Linked DNA regions of Arabidopsis thaliana. The protein of the gene in region 3 interacts with the protein of the main gene of each other region in a pairwise test. Each region holds a gene or a part of one and is shown on either strand. Other genes may lie near its edges.

Region 1 (4,637 bases), about 21 Mb from region 3:
CGATGATACTGTCTCTTCGAGCCCCTGGCTTCCTCAAGTTTAGCCATAATTGGAGTTGGCAGAGAAGAGTTTTGAGGTAACGCTTTCTTGCACCCATTACCATTGGATATCTCATGAGAAAGTATGTACTTATTTCCTTGATGGATATCTTGCTGTAAAGAATCGTATGCAGGAGCCCTGCTTCTCTGGCATGTACCTGTAGTCCCATTCAAAATCCTGGAAACAGATTCCACATGTAGATATGTTGTAGGAACTTGTGACTGAGAATGAGGTCGAAGCCCAGGCGATGACATGCTGGTAGCTACCATCTGATTCAAGTGAGTAAAACCTTTTGGAGTTGCAGGTTGCTGGTCAATCAAAGGTACGCAAGGCTGCTGGCCTCTTATTAATGATCCAGGTTGCTGGTTTTTTATCAGTAGTCCATGTTGTTGCCCTCCGGTTGACATAACAAGTTGATGCATGTCTGTAGGTGATCCATATAGCTGATTTCCAGCAGGTAAACAAGTCTGGTGATTCAAAAATATAGGCCGCTTGTTTCCTTGGGGACCTCCTAGTTGCTGGTTTCCACTTACTAATGCAGGCCGTGGAGTTCCTATCAGATACATAGGTTGTTGATTACCCATGGCCAAGCAAGGCTGCTGGTTTCTTATGGTCATGCGAGGTTGCTGGTTACCAAATGGAAAGCCAATAAGTTGGTTTTTCATCTGAAGCCAAGCTTGTTGGTTTTCCATTGGGAACTGGGTGTTCTGGGTTGCCACTGGGAACTGGCATTGCTGGTTTCTAGTCAATAAATCAGGTTGTTGGTCTCTGGCCAGTTTCGCTCCTGTAGATAGTTTATCTGGCTGGTTTCCCATTGACACTTCAAGTGGCTGGTTCATAGCCCCCAATCCATTGGTCTTGTCTATTTGTGACACTGAATCCAGGAAACTACCATTAGTTCCACCAATGGCATCTCTGATCTCAGAAAACGAGTTTGCGCCACTACTGTTCTGGACAATTTCAGACTCAGAGTCACCTTGCCTCGCATCTCCAGGATTCTCCAAGTCAAAATTCAAAGCTTTTCTGCAACTTTTGAGTGTGACTTCAGGGCTTTTGTTGCTCATATCTCCAACATTGGCTGGCTTTTTAGTTGCTGATTCTTTCAAATTTTTCTTTTTGGCACTCCCGGTTTCTTTAGATTTCACTTTTTCCTGAGTTGCAGCTTTGCGTGGCTTCCTTTTAGGTTTGCCTTCCACGACCACTTTGGGAAGTTCTGCAGGTTTGCGTGGCTTTCTTTTAGGTTTGCCTTCCACGACCACCTTGGGCATGAACTTCCTTTTCCTTTTGGAGGGTTTCTGCTGAGGAGTTTTGTTAAGGTCGAACTCCAGAACATCTTGTCTGCTGCCATCATTTTGTTCAGTAGCTTCCGTCGCATTAACAGCAGACGAGTCCATAATGCTCTGCATACTTTTGTCAGATTTCGGCTCTGGGATTTCATGTCCAGTAGTTGTAACTATCTGTTCAAGGAATCCAGTCTTTTCACCTGTTCTGAACAGACTGGGCGTTGACGGTACATATTGAAACGAACTTTCACAGACTGACCCAACTGCTTCTCTTCTAATTGGTGAATTCAAATTGTAAAGAGGCTTGTTACACGCTGGAGGTCCATCTGTTCAAAACCATGACTTTCTTAAGATATTCTAATTCATGTTCTACTCTAAGTACTGCAAGAACGGAAGAAAGGGAAAAAAAAAAACTGAAAATAGATTTGATCACTCACATTGACGAACCTTGAATAAGCTATCCCCACCACTCAGCAAGCTTGTGAAGGAGAAGGGCATCTGATCAGGATTCAACAAGTCATCCAATTCAAACTCATTATAGCCAGCTTGAGAAGTGCCACTCTGGGTGAAAGGACCATTTACCATACCCACATCTGAAGTAAAATTTCCATTGACCGGCTCTACATTACCGGTGGTGTTTCTGATAACTGGTGCTAAAGGAGAAGTCACCTCACTCCTGCCCAAAAGATCTCTCTCACTATTACTCCAAGCTTGTGCATGTGATCCCGCTAAGCTATTGATCATCATACTTAAGTTGGTAACGCCCTGATGAGCACCATGATCAAAAACCCCATTATGATCCACACCAGTGTTGCAGAATCCCCTGTCTACAAATTCACCACCTGGAAACCCATTTAGATCCTGGTTTATCACTCTCTCATCTACCATCAGACTTGATCTAGGTTTTTTGGGTGTAAATGGAATCCAAGAACCCATGAACTCTTGTTGAGTTTGATTCTCCAAAGGAACTCGAAAATATCTATCCCCCGGATCAGCCCTCGAATTCATAACACACTTGATGAATCACTCCCCCTTCAAACCTTATCACTACCTCACCCCAAATAACACTCACCTAACTCTCCGAAAACTCTCTCCAAACACCAAAACAAAGCAACATGGACGAACACTCCTTTTTAATCTGACTTGGTTAGAGAAGGCGACATTAACTAAGAATCTGCACCATAAAATGCAATAAATGATTTTTTGTCAGATATTTTTCTCATCAACAAAACGAGAAACACATTGAATAGCGAAGAATTTTTTAGCTGGAAACGGTAAAAGAAGAGCGAATAAAGTAAGCAATGTTTATGGGGAAAGTGAAGATAAAAGCAAATCAGAGGTTTTTATTACGCAGAATCAAAATCAGGTGTTAATAGCTGAGATTTATGATCAGAAAACAGGAACATGTATTGATTAACATAAAAACCCAGTGATTCTTCTCGTGATCGGAAAATGTAACAGCTGGAAAATTTAGCAGAACAAATTCCAGATAAAAAAGGGAGAGAGAAAAAAAGGAAATAATATGTAAATAAACAGAAAATGGAGCTAAAAGCTCACCGATCTAAGCTTTCTGATTCTCAGGCGAGTCAATGCCGGAGAACACTGAGTCAGCTATGCCGTTAGAGATAGAGATAGAGAGAGAGTGTGGTGAGATGAAGAAGGAATAAAGTGAAATATCAGTTGGCGTTAGCAATATGGGCCTGAGGCCCAAATTATATTCACGAGGACGTTGTTGCTTAAGTGTATTTTGTTGTTAATTGTCATTAGTCCTATTAAAATGGTTTAGTTTGCAAGTTTTCAGATAAAGCAACAACGCTAAACCCAACTTTTGTTGGTTATAAGTTATAACTTATAAATGTTCATTAGAATCTTACTAAATTTAATGTTTTGGTCTTCTTCCTATATTTAGATTTTAAAGTATGTCAACACGATTTTTAAATGAAATTTAATGTTGCAAACTTGCTTCTTCATGCCAACATTTGACCGAATTACATAAAGGAAGTTCAATGCTAAAATCGTATTTTTGTAAAACGCTCATAATCACTATTTTCGCTAGAGTATCTAATAATTTCCATATATTCATGAAATTAATTTGAAATTTGACACAAAATTCTCGTATTTTTTTAACGTAAATAAAGGTATAACACCGAACTCGTATTTTACGACTATGTTCGTTTCTAATTGCACCAAACTGATAAAATTGTAGTCACCAATTAATTACTCCGTTAGTGTATTAAACTAATATTATTTGACCCATTTGGAATATAAACCCGACCCGAAAGTTAATGAAATTGTATAAACGACAAGTTTCCGCGTGGAAGCCATTAATGATTGTGACGGATCTCTTCCTACCCCCAATCAGTTTCAATTTAGTCCTTCATCTTTCGGGATAATCCTATTTTAAACCAATGAAAGGATTTCTGGTCCCATATAGTTTATTGGGTGCTGCTCCTTTATTTTTCTTGGTATTTTATTTGACTCCCATACATTTAGATTTATTCGCATTGACCCCCACAGCAAGAGACCATAAGTCACGTTACGAATCTTAAAAAAATTTCGTCTAAAGGTAGTCACGAAACATTATTATGAGATTCTTGCTATGTTTGAGAATTATATCCCTCGGAAGAAAATTCAGTTGACGATATATCAATAATCAATGTATTTTTGTTCTTAGTCAACATTGTAGTAATGAAAATACGATTTTTTAAAGTAATGTTTGTGACAATGAATAGCAAATTATATCATCATAATTACAGAAAATATACATATCTTTAAGGTTTTTCCTTGAAACAAGAAGAACTCTTGACATTATTATAGCTAACACGAGTCTGAAGAATTAATCTCAGTGAATTTATATTTTAAACAGTTACATATCTTTTGAGATTTTTGTACAAATGTTCATATACCAAAATAAAGAGATTAAGAATCTGTTGACTTATTCTTTCTTTTGATAATTATATCGGTTAACTTTTCTTACCATCGGTAAATTAATACTTTGATTGAGAATTTGAGATTAGATACAATTGGTCTACGTTTTGGAATCTAGTGACATATTTGGTGTATTAGGAGGTTTTTCAAATAAAGTGAGCGTTTCATAATCATGAGTATGTAGTTATCCCATACTCGTAAAATATTATGGCAAGAAGGAAAAAATAGCATCCTCCAACAAGTAACAATCCACTCAACACCTTTTTAGAAACTTCCATATAAATAATACTACATGTAGTATATATTGGAAATATCGCTTTCGCATTGACAAGTTCAACGTCAATCAAGCTAGTTAGGTCAACTTTTCCCTAACGTTTTTGTTAAGTT
Region 2 (8,049 bases), on a different chromosome or scaffold from region 3:
AATACAAAACTTGTAAAGATTTACCTGTACGATTGCGGGTGACGAATATCCAAACATTTCAAAACCGTCGGGACTCCCAGAGGGTTGCAAAGGAGGAAGATCTGATTTTCCAGCTTTGTGCTGCTTAGTTATCTCTTGATTTACTCTCTCTCTTACCATCTCCCAGCATCTTGTAGGCGACATATGAACGAACACCTCACTGGGATTACTCTCCAAGTAAACCTGACAAAAAGAACATACCACACAGTTTGTTGATGGGCAAGATTTTTGGAACTGCACAATGACCAATAGAATCAAGACAAAACAACCTTTTTTTACACACACACACAAGATTTTAAAGGTTGATTAATAGGTTAATTCCGGTTTCATACTCAGTTCAAAACTTTTAAAGTTTATGTTAGCATGATGGGACTCTACGTCTTTGACAGCCAAATAATGGATCATATTTCCGGTTCAGATTCATGTCATCGGATTTATTCATATGGCAATATTTAATTTGAAAATGAAACACTACTCAGACATATTTTTAAGGTTAGTTAAATTAGATCAGCATCTATCTACCAACTAACCATGAACAATGGACTGTTGCGTCCAGCATCCAGAATTTCTGAAATGTAGAAGCACATATTTGTTGGATCCAAAATGTTTATGTACTTAACCCGGCTACGAAATCCTGCACCAAAGAAGAATAGACAATAAGCACTTGCAATATGTATAACTGTTAATGTTCTCAAGTAGCAAAAATACTTGACCACATGTCACCTTTAGGAAAAATTGCTCGCCGGCTGCACCATGATTTTCCAGACAGCACACATCCATAACTTAAAGGCTCTACATTGCAATTGATTCTCCTCACGACCTTTGCAATGCGGGGACCCTTTTGGCGGATGAACCTATCCGGACTATTATTTTGCGAACAAGACGGTGTACCTGAACTACTTCTTGTCCCATCCACAACATCCACTATAGCCAAACCTCCAGAGTTTTTGGATTTACAACTAGTAGGTTTTCCACCACCGTGGCTGTTAGTTGCCATTCTGTTACATATATCTTGAGTAAGCCCAGTAGCCTCCGCATTAACTTCCGCGTGCGAAGTAGAACTCGGTACATCCCTTCTCATTGTTTTTTGGTCATTAGTAGGCAATGATATAGTGTTTCGTGTATCACGCAGCGAATCTCCTTCCCTTTGGCAAATTGGAGCAGCAATTTTGGCAGAAGCTTCTAACGCCAAAACGTGGGTCGGTCTCTCTCGTATTTCTAATTTCTTGCCAGAAGAAATTGCATCTCTTCTCACAGAACCTCGTTTCCTAGGTATGTCATACTCATCATCGCTGAGGAGTATCACATCATTGGGTAGACTCTGTGAATTCTTTTTACCACTTGCGGACTTAACAGCTGTCATACAGATTATGCCTCCTTCAGATGGTTGGCAAGCTGAAACGTTTGGATCAGAAGAATCACAAACAGTTTCTTCTTTGACAGGCTTCATACAGTGACTTGACGTTATTTGCTCCTCCTTTTCTTTCAGAAGTAAATTAACATGAGATAATTTACTAGTCTTTTCTAACTCTTTACTTACTTCTTTCGATGTTACTTTCAACTGCAAATCCTTCCCTGAAAGTGCAGTTGTTTGTGGAGTCGGGTCCTTGTGGACTTTTCCTTCTTCATCTATCTCCATCTTGCTTCCTGAGACGTCTGTACTTAATGCCAATCCTAAATCTTGACGCGCCCATCTATATACAGAACTCAGTTTTCCTTCCACTGCCTCAACAAGAACATTCAGTTCATCGATATCATAGCGAAATAGAAAATATTTAGTAACCCATGGACATGAACACAACTCCTTCACATGAGTCAAACATGAATACTTCTCCGGGGAACAACGACAGCCAGCAGCAGACAGGTGCAAATCAAAGAAGCATATACAGCACTCTCTCTCGTTGGTAGCATCGAAATTACTGTGCATTTTCAATGCAAGTGAAGAGTTGCACAGAAATTCTCTTCTCGTACGTTCCATGTCAATGCGTGCCTAAATAAAAAACATGACAAGTCCATTAATCACCATATTGACAATAAAGAATGATCCTCTTAAACCTACGAGATTTATTTGTACAGTTAGACCCAGGCAGAAGATGAACACCTCCTGAACTAATCATTTGTTTTAACTAGTAAGAGGTGGTGTAGTAATCTTCCGTTCTTCCCTTGTTAGTTAGCTGTAGATTCGTGTGATATGCAATACCCCTCAACTTAAGAGAATTTCAAGTTCCATATCAATTACAACCTCATGCTACCAGTTTACAACGGATACCACCGTGGTACCAGTTTGCAAAGATACCTCTCAAGTTATTCATGAGTTCAGGATTTTCCAATCATTCACACTTATAGGCATCTAAACTTCAAGAATCAAGAGTAAGAATATCTAATCTTTACCTTTAATGTTTTTGCCAAAATTCCATCCTTCGCACTGAATGCTTTCCACCTTAAGTTATCTACAGTATTTTTCCTTAGTAAGTTCAGCTCCCAGTCGGCTTTCACTACTTCCCTTGCTGCCCCAAGCAACAATTTATCATGCGAGATGGACGTTTTTCTACCCTGTTGACAGTATAACTCTATGGCAATCTGCCCATGAGGTAACCAGTCAACGGGTGCTACATTCACAGCTTCAGCACAGTTGAAACCAGAATTAAATCCAGCATGATATGCCCGAGGAAAAGTCAAGACAAACTCTCCAGCATGCTGGACGCAACGGTGCACAGGTACTCCTGCGGTTTTCAGTTTTGACGGGGAGAGTTGTGTAACCTACACGAAAGAGCATCAAAGGATTTGTTTTATACCGAAACAATAATCTGCAACAAATGTATTTAAACCAGGTGCAACTGTGCAAGTCAATAGAGGACATAAAACGGGTCTGTAGAAATTCCTACAGGGTGATTAACTACAAAAATGGAAACACAGATATGGTAATATTCTATTATATGCTAACATTAACATATTAGTGAAATAAGAACATCATCGTGATTGAACACTTTTCTACTTTTCAAGATTCTATTGATCATTGATTATAGAGAAGCAAAGCGATGCTTTAGTTCATCAAATATCCAATACTTACTAGCTTATGAAGTAAGTCAGGCTGTTCTTCAAAAAGGTCAGGCAAATGCTTCCTCATTGCCTCCTCGAGTTTAACAGCATCCTTCCCCCCAACACCATACCACAATTTCGGTGCACCCCAGTGCATATAATTCAACGAATACAAGTGGTGATCTTCAACATGCTATTTCAGGTAAACAAAAACAAAAAAAAAGCAGAACAAAAGGAATGTCAGAAGTGGAAAATATAAAACGAAATAAGATGTGAAGTAATGAAAATTGCATCCACTGGTGTAAGAAAACTGTATAATATGAAGACACTAACTAATACTTTTGTGGGAAATTGAATCAATAATAATCCTAGCGTAGCTTTAGGAATAATGGAAAAATTATCATTGTAAATATGTAGCACAGAAATTTAATCACATTTATCTACTATTTGTGAATAGGTATACAAAAAACAAAGCACATCCGGTTGTAGTTGTAAGTTTTTGTATGAGGCTACGCTTGATTTCAGTAAAAGGAAGAGATCCCAACTAAGTACATGCTTTAACCTGCAAAATAAATTATGCAATTCACAGAGATCAATCTTACCCAGCAGAAAGAAGAAAAGCACATCCCAATATACAGCCACGGCACAAGGACACCGGAAATATCACTGCCCTCGTACTTAAGGAGGGATCCCGGAAGCCTTGGAAAGTTATTTAAGTTCCAGCCTGATTTTGCATATTTATCTTCTGAAGAAGAAGCATTGTGACTTGATGATATCTTGGGGAATCCGCTACCAAATACCCCAGTTTCAAGGTCAGCACCATATAGCACCTATATTGAAAAATCATTGTGGTAGTTAGGAGATACAGGGGTCCTAATAGACCATAAACCCCCAAATAAAAAGAACAACAGGGGACAAAACTTTACCTCTATCTCTTCAGTTGCTTTATCTACTATCCGCCAATATTCACCTTCAACATCCTCAAGTGCTGGCTCCCAGCAGTCTATTGAATTATCAACTTTACATTTATCGTCTGTAGAAGTTTCACTCTTTTTAAAGTACTGAGCCTTGAACTCATCAGCATATTTTTGGAAGTCTTTTAGTGTGAACCCTGGACCAGGTTCAAACCCAAACGTCTCAAGTTCATTCATTCCAGTGCTTGCAGAACAGGGATCGCCCATACCATTAGTGACAGAATCCATTCCCATTTTCATGCACTTTCTTTTCTTCTTTCTCATTTGATTAGGAAGCTTTGAAATCTTCTTCATTGAACTCCGATTCTGAAGTTTATCAACTCTTTGGACACGTGTTGTAAATTTAGAACCCTCCCATACTTGCTTTTCTTTCAGTGGGCACGGCGGTTTCCAGGAAGGAGGAGGAACAATGCGACAGATTCCATACTTTTCAGCCTCCGGTCTTATTTTAGCGATATAATTTAAAGTGTCTTCAAACTCCTAGAAACAGGTTTGCAGTTTATGTTAGAAATATGGAGCTAGAAATTCAGTTAAAAGGGTTTGGAAGTATAGAATATGAACAAGACCTCTTCGCTCGGGTAGAATACAGGGGCGTCCTCAAGGTCAGGCCTACGAGCTTCATCTGGATGCCATCTCGCAGTTACCTGCCAAACTTGTGAATATAACGTTAGAGGGTTATGAAAATCGTAAATAAGAAGAAAAGATCAAACATCTAATGCTCAAGCGAAAGACGTTTATAAGTTTATTTCTGAAACAAGCATTAACTGAGATTAACCTTCTGACAATCTTTACATTCTTCACATCCCCTGACCACACCCTTTGGAAGAGCTGGCTTCACATCACAATTCTGTAACAACACCATGCATAAGCAAGGCAAACAAAGAGATGGAAAGTTGAAACACAAGTTGCCAGGAATAAAAAGCAAAACAAAGAACGAACTTGATCAGGATTTTGAGATGCAGCATTGTCATTGTTTGCAGCACAATCACCATCATCATCACATCCGCTATGATTAATCCAAGGTCTACGGCGTAGAGCCCGAGCAGCTTTGGCTTCATCAGATTCAACTTCCATCTTAGCTTGTTCGGTTGCAGAAACACTTTCAATTGCAGGAGTCTTGGCTTTATCAGAAGTAGTAGCAGGGACTACTCTTTTTAAGGTAAAAGTTGCATATGATTCAAAACCAGGAGGAACAGATGGCAAATCATCACTATCTTCTTTCACACAGATTCTCATTAGCTCTGTCCCCATTACTTCTGTGCCAACACTACATACAATTGAAGCATCATTCATTCATGTCTCAATAATATCACAACCATTTATAAAATAATAAAAATACACATGACACATATGGTAGGTACATATTTTCAGGGTAAAGTACGATTACAGATATATATAAACGGTTCATCACCAAATTAGCTGAATCAAAAATCAGGAAGAAGAGCCATAAGGAAAATGCTTACATAGTCTTGTGATTTAGGGTTTCTGGTGAAATTGGATGGTCAAAATAGCTGGAGCTCCATCAACTGCACCCAGACTAAGAGAAATCGAGTAAAATCAGCAACAAATTTAAAGATCTGAAGAAACCCTAGATCATTGAAATTTTTAGTAATATTTTTTTTTAATAATCCAGTATTCATCAGATCTAAGCACTAGTAGATTCAGGATTATCATCGCATGTCCTTTTCCATGTTTGCATAAAAATTAAGAAGAAAAATTCAACACCAAAAAAAAAGGTCCAAATATGAAACCTAACCTTTTCCATATTCCCCAGAAAACAAAAAAAAAGCAGCAAACAAAATCAGATGAAAGGAAGAAGAAAAGGGTAAAACTGGAATTAAATCTACAGGTCCATCCATATACGTTGGGTATGTGACAATTAAATCTGTGAAGAATGAACAAAAACAACAAGCAACAAAAAGCTATTTCACTGGTCAAGATTAGATTAAACTTATCACCTTCTTTTTTTCAATTTTAAGATCATGAGAAGAGGAACATGTGGTGGCTTTTTCTGGGTTTGCCTAATTTTTTGCTCTGTATGATATATGTCTTGCTTGGTTATAAGTTATTAACGCTTCAAAAGCAAGCAGATGCAATTTCCTATGCAACAACTACTCTTACTATTTTGTTTCGACCATCAAATAAATAAAAATGCAATAAACAAGTGCGTTAGAGAGGAGTAATATAATTGGTTCACTTTGTTGGGTCATATAACACGTAAACATTTATTCACGGGTGGACATTACCGCATATCCACACAACAACAGAGTTATTTAAAGGATTTGTATTTACGCCTGCTAATTTGGTTACAAATATACGCTAAATAACAATTTCATTTCTTTAAAATAAAATTTTATTGTAATAGAGAACAAAAATTTACCGAAAAATATTGCATAGAAATTTTTATTTATTTCAAGAACTAGATTTTATAAAAATTCCAAGAGCCATCGATTATTTTCGAAGTAGTTTTATCGCATTCGATTTTTTTGTTATAGTTAAATGAAAATAGCCACTGGAATACAATCACTTAGTTCATGTAATAAATATTGTAGTATGTGAGTATGATATGCAATGATAGCGTCAACTAATTTGGTATACACAATTTATAATACTTAATTCTGTTTTTGACCAACATATCTAAATTTTGAATATGATAATGCAATTATTTAGACATTATAATGTGTAAGAGAGGCGTGTATAAATGACTATTCATCTTGTTTTCGAATGGTAATGTAACATGTTATTTTTCTATGCGGAGAAATTGATCTCTGTTTGATTTTTAATTTGGTTGTAACTCAACCCAAAACTTGAAAAAGCCCAATCCGATAGCTGAATTGGCCCAAAATAATTAAACCGATTCACAAAAACAAAGGGAATAAAAACAGAGGAGGTTAATGTTAGATGTTTCATAAGTTTGTGGGAATAAATGAAACATGTCGAGACATATAGGGTGCACATTGTAAATTTAGGATAAACCCTACTTATCATCTCAAAACCCGCGTCGGCTTCGAACAACGAACAGTGAGTTTCTCACACTCATCATTTCTCCAGATTTGTTAGGGTTTCTCAAACTTAACCGCAACTTGAAGGTTTTCTGCTTCTTTTCTTTTGTTGGAAACTGTTTCAGTCTGCTTCTCTGTCTCTATAACTTGTACCTTTCCTTTTCACAGGTTTGGTTTCTCCATTCACTCAAGAATAGGTTATGAGATAAAGCAGCAGAGACTGAACATCATACCAGCAAATAATTATTGGTCTAACTTCTTCTTCATTGAGTTTGATAAGCTTTTGTAAAAGGAAAGATCTCTGTTTTGTTAAAATAGCTTCTGGATTCTGAGAAATGGCTTCGTCGAATTTGCTACTTGAGGTTCAGTTCTTGCATATTCCTAGTCTGTCTCAAAAGCAGGCGAATCCTTTATCTTGCAGAAAGTTTTCTTCTTTAGATTGGAAGCAAGAAATTGGGCTGAAAAAGGATGTTTTTTTTAGATGTCACGGCTTGTTAAGTAGTGTGTGCATTGACAATGTAAATGATCATGCTGAGAGAAGCTCAGAGTTCCATCACTATGGTGTCGGTACTAACTTGAGAGCCAGAGTGAAACCTATGAAGCAATTTGGTTTATCATCTGATGGACCAATTACAGAGAACGACGAAGAGACCAACAATGAGATCCTTCATAACCTGTGCAGCAATGGGAAGTTAACAGATGCGTGCAAACTTGTCGAGGTGATGGCACGACATAATCAGGTTCCTCATTTTCCTTCTTGCTCAAACTTAGTCCGTGGTCTAGCCAGAATTGATCAACTGGATAAAGCAATGTGTATCTTGAGAGTAATGGTAATGTCTGGTGGGGTTCCAGATACTATTACCTATAACATGATCATCGGAAATCTTTGCAAGAAAGGGCATATAAGAACTGCTTTGGTCCTCTTAGAAGATATGAGTTTGAGTGGGAGCCCTCCTGATGTGATCACGTATAACACAGTGATTCGGTGTATGTTT
Region 3 (3,804 bases):
CATTGTCCCTGATCTTTACGTTACGATACAATGCCTATTAGTTTATCAAATTAAAAACTGGAAATATATTATGTCGGGCCGAAATAGAAGTCGTCACGAAACATAGACTAACCATTTACACACTATGACGGTCGACGTACATTATTTTTTAATATTAAATAATAACCATGCATGCATTAGAAGTTTAGAACATCAAGAAATATATAAATTTTATAAAGAGAGCTTGCCCTAAACTTTGTCAAATAATATCATAATTTTGAGTTTCTTTTTAAAATACCACAAAAGTTATGTTTGCTAAGATTTTTAAAAGTTTCTAACTGTTGTATTTTTTTTGAAATTATTAGATTACCGTGGTAATTAGATTTTATTTTTAAATATGATTTATAAATTTTCTAAAAACTATTTGGTCGGTTCACGAAAATGGGTTCCAACTTTATATACTGTGTAGAAGTAATTAAGCCCACATATGAGCATATTTGATCTTAAACCAGCCCAATAGCCCATTACGAATGCTTGATTAAACGGCAGTGTTTTCATGTACGAATTCCACGCTCTCCTAGCCGTCGGATGATAAGCTACAATGATTATGAGCCGTTCGATATATCACCACAAGAATCTGTAGATCAAAAGTGAGTGCGATCAAGAACTGGTTTCAGTCACTTTTTTGACAAGTCTCTCTTTCTCAAAAGTCAACCCCTTATTTTGCAATACTGTATTGTGAATCTCTCTATCAGGCCTTCGTATTTCTCACAGACTGGAGTTTTTGTTTCATAAAATCTGATAAAAGGAAAGATGTCTAACCCTCAAGATGACAAGCCCATCGACCAAGAACAAGAAGCTCATGTCATTCTCAAGGTCAAGAGCCAGGTTTTTTCACTGTGTTCCCTCTTTAATCTCCTTGAAATTTTCTGTCGTTGCTGCTTGGTTGATAATACTATATATACAGTTTCTTGATATGAAAACTTTGATGATACTCTTTTCCAAACTGTGATGATCTAAAGTATAGAGTGATTAAAATCTTTTTTCTTGATTGGTGATACTAAGGATGGAGACGAAGTCTTATTTAAGAACAAAAAAAGCGCTCCACTTAAAAAGCTCATGTATGTTTACTGCGACCGCCGAGGTTTGAAATTAGACGCATTCGCTTTCATTTTTAATGGAGCTCGTATAGGTGGCCTGGAGACTCCAGATGAGGCAAATCACTCTCTTTTTCATTTCCCTTTTACAATTTATATGTTTGTCAAAAGTGTATCATTTACTAAACCAAGATTCTCCAATTTTAAAGCTTGATATGGAAGATGGAGATGTGATAGATGCGTGCCGGGCGATGAGTGGTGGTCTACGAGCAAATCAGCGTCAGTGGTCTTATATGCTTTTCGATCATAATGGGCTTTAATTAGGAATAATTTGGCTGGCTTTGTGATATTTGACTACTTTCTTCAAGCAAAATTACTTGAAGTTTAAATCATGGTCGGTTATCGTGTGTGTAAATGACTCATGAGTGATTGGATCTTATGAATTATGATATTAATGGTATCTGGTTACGGATTTTTAGAATCTTTGTACTTTGTTAATTTTACAACCGTGAATAAACAACTCATCAAAACCTCTAAAACTCAAGTTGGCTAATTGTAAAAGGTCACACAACAAAACCATATTAAACAATTGAAATCTTTACTGGTTTGATCAAAATCAAACGGTTCACTTTGAACATCTTCACTTTTCCCAACTCAAACAAATCTACTCGAAAGCTGAGATTTTCACATTTTAAAATTCTTGGGTAGACACAGAAGTAACCAGCCCATTTGAGCCCATTAAGAATGCTAAAACGACATCATTTTAAGTTAGAGATTATACTCACTCACAGCCGTCGAATGATATAGATCAATGATTATGAACCGTTAGATAAACAAGAATCCGATGCGACCAAAGATAGTGGTTTCAGTCTTTTTTATTCTCTGCCGAGTCTCTCTCTCTCCCTCAAACCCTCAAGTTCTGCAATCCCGCGAATCTCTCTTAGGGCTTCGCTTATATCGCAGATCGAAGTTCTTGTTTCCAATCGCCGACCGTATAATCTGATAATAAAGTAAGATGTCTGCTACTCCGGAAGAAGACAAGAAGCCTGACCAAGGAGCTCACATCAATCTCAAAGTCAAGGGACAGGTTTTCTATTTCTCACTCACTCTCTCGACTTCTATTTCTTGCATTGTGTAACGATTCGTTGTCTGGTTAAAGTTTTGAGTGTGATTAGGATCTTTATAGCTTCTGATTGCTTCAATTCTAGGGTTTTGAGTTTGTCTGCGTTATTCCCAATTTCTATTCTGGTTAGCTTGTCTATGAGGTAGTGATTATTGTGTAAGCGTGACTTTTAATTGGCTTAAATTTGAAGCAAACAAAAGTTATCTGAGAATTGTGAATTATGTTTTGACTCATAATTGTAGCAAACAAAACATTACTACTCTTGTATGTGTGAGGGTGTGTATTGGTGGAGACAGTGATTATCTTCGAAGAAATTGTTGTAATGTTGTGAGTTGTGACTAAGCTAACAATTTATAACCTTGAACTCTCACTATAGCCTATTGTAGTTATGCTTTTGGAGTATGGAGCATTTGTTTCATGAAAGCTTTTCGTTGCTATGATTTGTTTTGCTTATGTTTCTGTACCCATTGGTAGGCATTTTTCGTTGTTGGTACTTGGTTGGTTATAGATACAGTTTTTGGTATTGAGAAAATCGTATATAATACTCTTCTTGAAGTAACAATCATTGGTAATTTTTCTTGTGTAGGATGGTAATGAAGTCTTCTTTAGGATCAAGAGAAGCACTCAGCTCAAAAAACTGATGAATGCTTACTGTGACCGTCAGTCTGTGGATTTCAACTCAATTGCTTTCTTGTTTGATGGTCGTCGTCTTCGTGCCGAGCAGACTCCAGATGAGGTAACATCACTCTCTGTACCCCATTCTCTTTTACTGTTTTCCGTTTTTCAAAGTTGTATGATTTCCTTAACCGAGAATCTTCAATTTTACAGCTTGAAATGGAAGATGGAGATGAGATCGATGCAATGCTTCATCAGACTGGTGGTGGTGCTAAAAATGGCCTGAAGCTCTTCTGCTTTTAGTGGCGGTTATTTTAATGGTTTTCCATAAGATTGTGTGATATTAATGGATTTAGTGAATCGGCTTTAGATTAAATTTGGCAGGCTTTGTTTTACTTTGACCAGTTTCTACTTACTGGTGAAAGTCTATGTGAATCATGAAACTTATTGGATCTTAAAATATTAATGGGCTTGTTTATGGATTTTGGAATCTTTCGATTGGCTTTAGCTTAAAGTAAACGCACAAGTTGCCGAGTATGGTAATTAGTCAAACTTGCTCCCCACGGTTCCTTGGATCCCAAGTTTCTACTGGCTATATAAGAACAGTTCTCTTCTTTTTTTTCCATAAGCTCCGGTTTCTCTGTACCCTCGTAAATAATGGCTCTACCTTCTTCGTCGTGGTCAGAGTTTCTTCCGGAGCTTCTCAACACTGTATTCCACAACCTAAACGACGCCAGAGACATTCTAAACTGTGCCACGGTCTGTTCTTCTTGGAAGGATTCTTCTTCGGCCGTATACTACAGCCGGACGTTTTCTCCTTTTCTGTTTATTTCCCATCTCTCTTCCAATGAAGAAATCCGATTCTCCGACCAGTTTAGAGTTTTGTCTCCGGGAAAGTTGGGTTTCTCAGGGAACCAACAAGCGTGGGTTTGTGGCAGTACACTAGGGTTTTTGTTGACGGTCAGTGCTTCTTTCCCGTTTGAGGTTCAT
Region 4 (4,876 bases), 2.7 Mb from region 3:
ATTGAGAAAAAGTGCATTGACGAGATGACATGAGCTGGAAAAACTGAGATATTTCGACTAAACTATATAGCTCAACTAGCCAAATAAGTTTACCGACACTTAGTCGAGTTTAGTTGACTGAGATAGTCTTTGGCTTGATGGTGGTTTAGGTTTCTTGGGAAAGTTAAGTGACCGCTTAACGGTTACTCAGGACTGTTGGATCAGATGGAAAAGATATAACTAAGACAAGTAATTTGAGTCGTTACCAAAACCTAGTCGTTAAGGCCAACAATCTCAGAGGCTACACATAGGAATAGCAAGGTGCGATTTCTATCTTCTTGATATTTAAGATGTCGCGACTCACCAGTTGGTAGAGAAAACAAACTAAGCTAATGTTCAACAATACATTGCTATACCAATCACACTCCATGACTACAAGATTCAAGGCTCAAGAGGTTGGTGTTCTTGGTCTGTTTGTTATCAATGGAGTTCAGGGAATTGCATCTACCACTAGAAAGATCTTAATCACACAACAGTTAATAAAACTGTGGACTAACATTCCAAAAGGATCAAAAACTATAATCTATACACCATTCAATATCCCTCACAAAGAAGGCATCTAAAAAACCACCATATCACCAGCTTGGCCTATAGTATCCAGTTCTTACTTCTCAGTATAACCACCCAGCAAAACGAGAAATCAAAGTAGACTACCATATACAAATCACAATGGAGAAGAATAACACGAAAGCCAAGCTCCTTCTGGCACTTCTACTATCAGGCGCTGAAGGGAGGTATGCACCTGAGGAGCAAAGTGAGGTTATCACCAATAACCAGCAACTCTGGGGTTGGTTTCCTCTTCCACATTATGGCTGGCCCTTTCATAAAAGACGGTTTGGTTATTTTCCTCCCAAAGCTGGCCTCAACAAACAGAACCCCGTGCCCGGATCTCAGACTACAGGTGATGCCAATGTTGCTGCATCCACCAAGTTTCCATGACTAGGTGACGATGCATGCTAGCAAAATGTGACCTTAAGGAGTGAATAACCACAAGGCAGAGCAATAGAGCATCGATTCAAAACCGATTCTATTAGCTTCTGCAATCTATCTTCTGCTACCATTGTACTCTAGACCCAGTGCATGGAGTTCTAATAAATTTCCCTTATTTTTTTTTTATTTTTTTTTTTCACAATAAATTTCCCTTATAATTCCTACTATTTGCTCATACTGACATACATAAATACTTTACGCATTTATCAGCAATGTGAGATGAGAACTGGCATACACGACATGATCAAGATGTAGAATTTTAGTAAAGATTCAATATTAATTTTTTTTTCCATATATCTTATCATCTATCAAGAGAGAAGAGTATCGACTGAGAGGTTTGCAGAGACCTAAATTACATAGAACAACAACTAAAAACAAAGAGTTATTACCAATGATATCCATCGAATGATAGGGCCTTCTGGCTTCTTGATCACTGAATATTTCTCTTCCAACAAAGCAAAATATTCAAAAATACCAAGTCAACGAAGTCCCTTCAATGTTCCAAAGTGAATAGGAGGATAGTCTGATAAACCATTAGACCTGTGAGAATGGAAACCAAATTCCAGTTTAGTTAATTAAGTATACAATTCAAATCTAGTAAATCTCTACAAACGTGGATGATAATATAATCATTGTTTGACCTACAGGGTGGCTGGTGATGTTGCCGGACCACTCATCTAGTGGTTGGAAGGAAAACTCGAATCAGCTCTTTTGCAGTAACCTTTTTCCTACAAGTAGGGCATTTGCCCTGGCGAGATATTGCCATCTTTATACATCCCTTGCAGAAGATGTGACCGCACTTGGTTGACATCTCCTCCGTAAAGGGACACATGCAGATTGGACATGTAAACTTTGGCTCTTCTGGTGGAGGAGCTGGAGCCTTTGATCTAGACACTCTCTACACAAGATAAAAGAAATTGTGAGCTTAGACTAAATCGCATAACTGCACAGTACATGATTCCAGAAATTCACATCTCTCTTACCGAAGACATGTTGACTTCATCATTTACAGAGGCATGCTCACAGTCGATGACAGATTCACTAGAAGGAATCCTTCTGCGTTTGTTGCTTATGTTGGCAGGGAATCTAGTCGTACCTCCTGCAAACACAAAGTAAAATCCATCCATCAAACTCTCTGTCTCTCCCTACTACTTGAGACATGACATTGAACCAGAAGAGTAAAATTTCTTTTCACAATAGATAAAAACTGACCTGACTCTACATCAACCATCAAAGGTCTCCGACGTGCATTTCTTGATTTGCTTTTAGCCTGGTATCAAAATAAAACAAAATCAGTGAACCTACTACACAAACAAATCCTATCCATCACTGCAAAAATGAGAAACTAAAAGATAACAGAAATCAAACATACTTCAGCAAAAGCACTAGCGGATGATTCAATAACATCATCCTCAATAGCATCGACATCAATCATCGTAGGAGCAGGCTGAGACGGTGTAATAGGCACCGTAAGAGTTCTAACAGAAGCAGAGGTCCCTTCTTGATCAACAGGTACCGCATTCAGATCAATCACAGCTTTCCTCCGTCGATTTCCTCGAGGTACTCTCACCTCTGACGTGTTCATCTTTCAGCTCAAAGTAACTAACCTTTGTACCTGTAAGTTTCAACCAAACAATAAAACAATCTAATTTACTCCTCAAAGTCTTATATACAAACTCAAATCATTGCAAGCAAGATAATATAATTTCCGTGAATAATCTCAAAATGTATAGTTTCACATATACTTACAGAAAAAAAAAATCCAAACTTTAGACAGAATTTTTCAAAAGAACACAATTTCACAGCAAAAAGGGAAAAGAATCAATCTCCCAGAAATTCATCGACTTTACGAAATTAAACTCAATTGACAGTAACGAGACGATCAAATTAACAAATCCGATCCTAAAATCGAGAATGATCGTTTTTAATCAAACAACAAGAGAAATGAATTAGATTAGGTTTTGATAGAGAAGAACCTCTTCAATCAATTTGATTCGATGATCGCTATAATCACCTTGAGCCGAATTTCACTCGAGGAAAATCGCCGGAGAGAAATTTGACAGCCAATCGATTTTGTGAAATCTAGGGTTTTTGAATCTTTTTTTCTGTAATAGAGAGAGAAACACGAAGGTGGTGAGAAACGGTGAGAGTTTTTTGAGTTCGTAATAAAAAGCGACGCGGTCGGTGCGATTGTGACACGTGTCGAAATCGTAATGTAGCTTCCTCGTGGTTTACAGTGTTGTTTCCTAGGAAAAAGCAAAATTTCTAAAATGGACCCGTTTGAGATGTTTAAATAGCCCATTGGGTTTTACGTTAGCAATGACGATAACAATTTATAAAACTTTGTTCAGCCCATTTGTTTGGATTTTCAAACACTCGTACAGGTAAATAAAAAACATATAAATATTGCTAAGAAATTCTTCAACTTTTTAATTTTGTAAATCTATCCACCGCATTTTAAAAAAATGTCGAAAAAACGCAAATTTTCAAATTTGAAATAAAATACATGAATGTTCGAAATGTCATTTTAATCGTAACGTTTGATTTTCTGATAAATATTTGGATTCACAATTCACATGTAGAGGTGAATCTTTTTATTTACCTCATCTTTTCTAACCAATCAGAATTTTTTATCTGATAAAATAATAATAATTATAAAATATAACATGTCACCAAACGAAATTATATGTCGGTTTGGCTTTTTACGTTTATAAAAGAGGGTTAGAGTTTAGATTTTATAATTAAACGAAGTTAAATTTCGGTTTAGGGTTATAAACGGATTCTGATTTTACACTTAAACGAGGTTAAAACTCGGTTTGGATTTAAAATTAACGGTTAGGATTTATATTTTATAATTAAACGATGTTAAGTGTCGGTTTAGGTTTACAAAAAGAGATTAGAGTTTAGATTTTTTGTAACTAAACGAAATTAAATATCGTCTTGGGTTTATAAAAGAATAGTTAAGGTTTGTATATTATAATTAAGTAAATTTAATTTTTGTTTATTATAATAGGAGGTGAATAAAAGGATTCACCCCTATAAATGAATCTGAGTATTGTTCAAAAAAACGCAAATAGAGTAACAGAAGTTGCATAATGTTTTAGCAAAAACTACTCCTTACATCTCCATAAGAATAACAAAGATATTATTAAAAAAAATCAAGCAGAAGCAAATAAAAAAAAAGAGGATTATGTAAAAAAGGGAAATGATCATCTTCATTAGCTTCCCTTTCGGCTCCATGGAGGAAAACAGCAACCCTACACATAACAACGTCAATTGTAAAAAAAGAGGATTTATGAAAGAAAGGGAAATGATATTTTGGTTATCTACCTTGGGACTAGAAGGTAATGGTTGATGATGTTGGTCGATGATGGGTCGAGTCGGGGTGCTATGATCGGTTCCATTGTAAGATCTCGCTTGGTTCCTATCTTCTTTCACTTTGTCAAAGATAAGTGTGTAACTCTGATTTTCCATGTTAGAACCCGTTCCAGGAAATGGAGGAATAGTCGCCACCTAATTGAGAAAAATACACTTACTTAGCGATATATATTTATGAGTTGTGACACATATTTTGTACTATAAAATGGTAAAGTTATGCATACCCTTTCACTACTTTGCCCTCTAAGATTGCGTATTGGCCGCGCCGGGACATGATCACGTGATTGCCGTCTATTTATTTCTGTTGGATTTCCCATTGATCTGCCACCTCCACCATATGTTTGATGGTTGTATGTTTCTGGTGTGGGAGGAACTGATCTAACTCTGTTGTTTCTTTCATTGTGTGCAGGAGACGGTCTGAATTCGGTTTCGTCTCTGCTATTGAATCTTTCATGTCTTGGTCTAACAT

Evidence for each region.
Region 1: the proteins of SUMO2 (region 3) and DME interact in a two-hybrid assay, tested with the Arabidopsis thaliana proteins (one study listed by BioGRID).
Region 2: the proteins of SUMO2 (region 3) and PKDM7D interact in a two-hybrid assay, tested with the Arabidopsis thaliana proteins (one study listed by BioGRID).
Region 4: the proteins of SUMO2 (region 3) and AT5G48655 interact in a two-hybrid assay, tested with the Arabidopsis thaliana proteins (one study listed by BioGRID).

What each region holds. Positions count from the first base shown.
Region 1 is NC_003076.8:1,307,479-1,312,115, reverse strand, and holds the start of DME (HhH-GPD base excision DNA repair family protein), read right to left. Parts: upstream 3,003-4,637; 5' UTR 2,880-3,002; exon of another isoform or gene 2,497-2,879; 5' UTR 2,331-2,496; coding exon 1,760-2,330; exon of another isoform or gene 1,649-1,759; coding exon 1-1,648. UniProt on the Arabidopsis thaliana protein: Transcriptional activator involved in gene imprinting. Catalyzes the release of 5-methylcytosine (5-meC) from DNA by a glycosylase/lyase mechanism.
Region 2 is NC_003070.9:2,734,808-2,742,856, reverse strand, and holds the start of PKDM7D (Transcription factor jumonji (jmj) family protein / zinc finger (C5HC2 type) family protein), read right to left. Parts: upstream 6,022-8,049; 5' UTR 5,809-6,021; exon of another isoform or gene 5,590-5,808; 5' UTR 5,346-5,589; coding exon 4,992-5,345; intron 4,900-4,991; coding exon 4,828-4,899; intron 4,697-4,827; coding exon 4,619-4,696; intron 4,533-4,618; coding exon 4,005-4,532; intron 3,909-4,004; coding exon 3,681-3,908; intron 3,272-3,680; coding exon 3,110-3,271; intron 2,800-3,109; coding exon 2,431-2,799; intron 2,030-2,430; coding exon 763-2,029; intron 674-762; coding exon 570-673; intron 223-569; coding exon 25-222; intron 1-24. Other genes in the region: AT1G08610 (Pentatricopeptide repeat (PPR) superfamily protein), read left to right, coding at 7,390-8,049. UniProt on the Arabidopsis thaliana protein: Functions as a histone H3 'Lys-4' (H3K4me) demethylase involved in the negative regulation of gene expression. Active on H3K4me1, H3K4me2 and H3K4me3. Not active on mono-, di- and trimethylated H3K9, H3K27 and H3K36 in somatic cells.
Region 3 is NC_003076.8:22,383,060-22,386,863, reverse strand, and holds SUMO2 (small ubiquitin-like modifier 2), read left to right. Parts: upstream 1-1,938; 5' UTR 1,939-2,091; coding exon 2,092-2,163; intron 2,164-2,673; coding exon 2,674-2,712; intron 2,713-2,785; coding exon 2,786-2,935; intron 2,936-3,027; coding exon 3,028-3,117; 3' UTR 3,118-3,304; downstream 3,305-3,804. Other genes in the region: SUMO3 (small ubiquitin-like modifier 3), read left to right, coding at 793-867, 1,045-1,194, 1,286-1,396; AT5G55150 (F-box SKIP23-like protein (DUF295)), read left to right, coding at 3,472-3,774. UniProt on the Arabidopsis thaliana protein: Ubiquitin-like protein which can be covalently attached to target lysines as a monomer. Does not seem to be involved in protein degradation and may function as an antagonist of ubiquitin in the degradation process.
Region 4 is NC_003076.8:19,729,873-19,734,748, forward strand, and holds AT5G48655 (RING/U-box superfamily protein), read right to left. Parts: upstream 3,285-4,876; 5' UTR 3,006-3,284; exon of another isoform or gene 2,645-3,005; 5' UTR 2,615-2,644; coding exon 2,402-2,614; intron 2,300-2,401; coding exon 2,242-2,299; intron 2,129-2,241; coding exon 2,013-2,128; intron 1,928-2,012; coding exon 1,703-1,927; 3' UTR 1,675-1,702; exon of another isoform or gene 1,671-1,674; intron 1,570-1,670; 3' UTR 518-1,569; downstream 1-517. Other genes in the region: AT5G48657 (defense protein-like protein), read right to left, coding at 4,147-4,542, 4,632-4,876.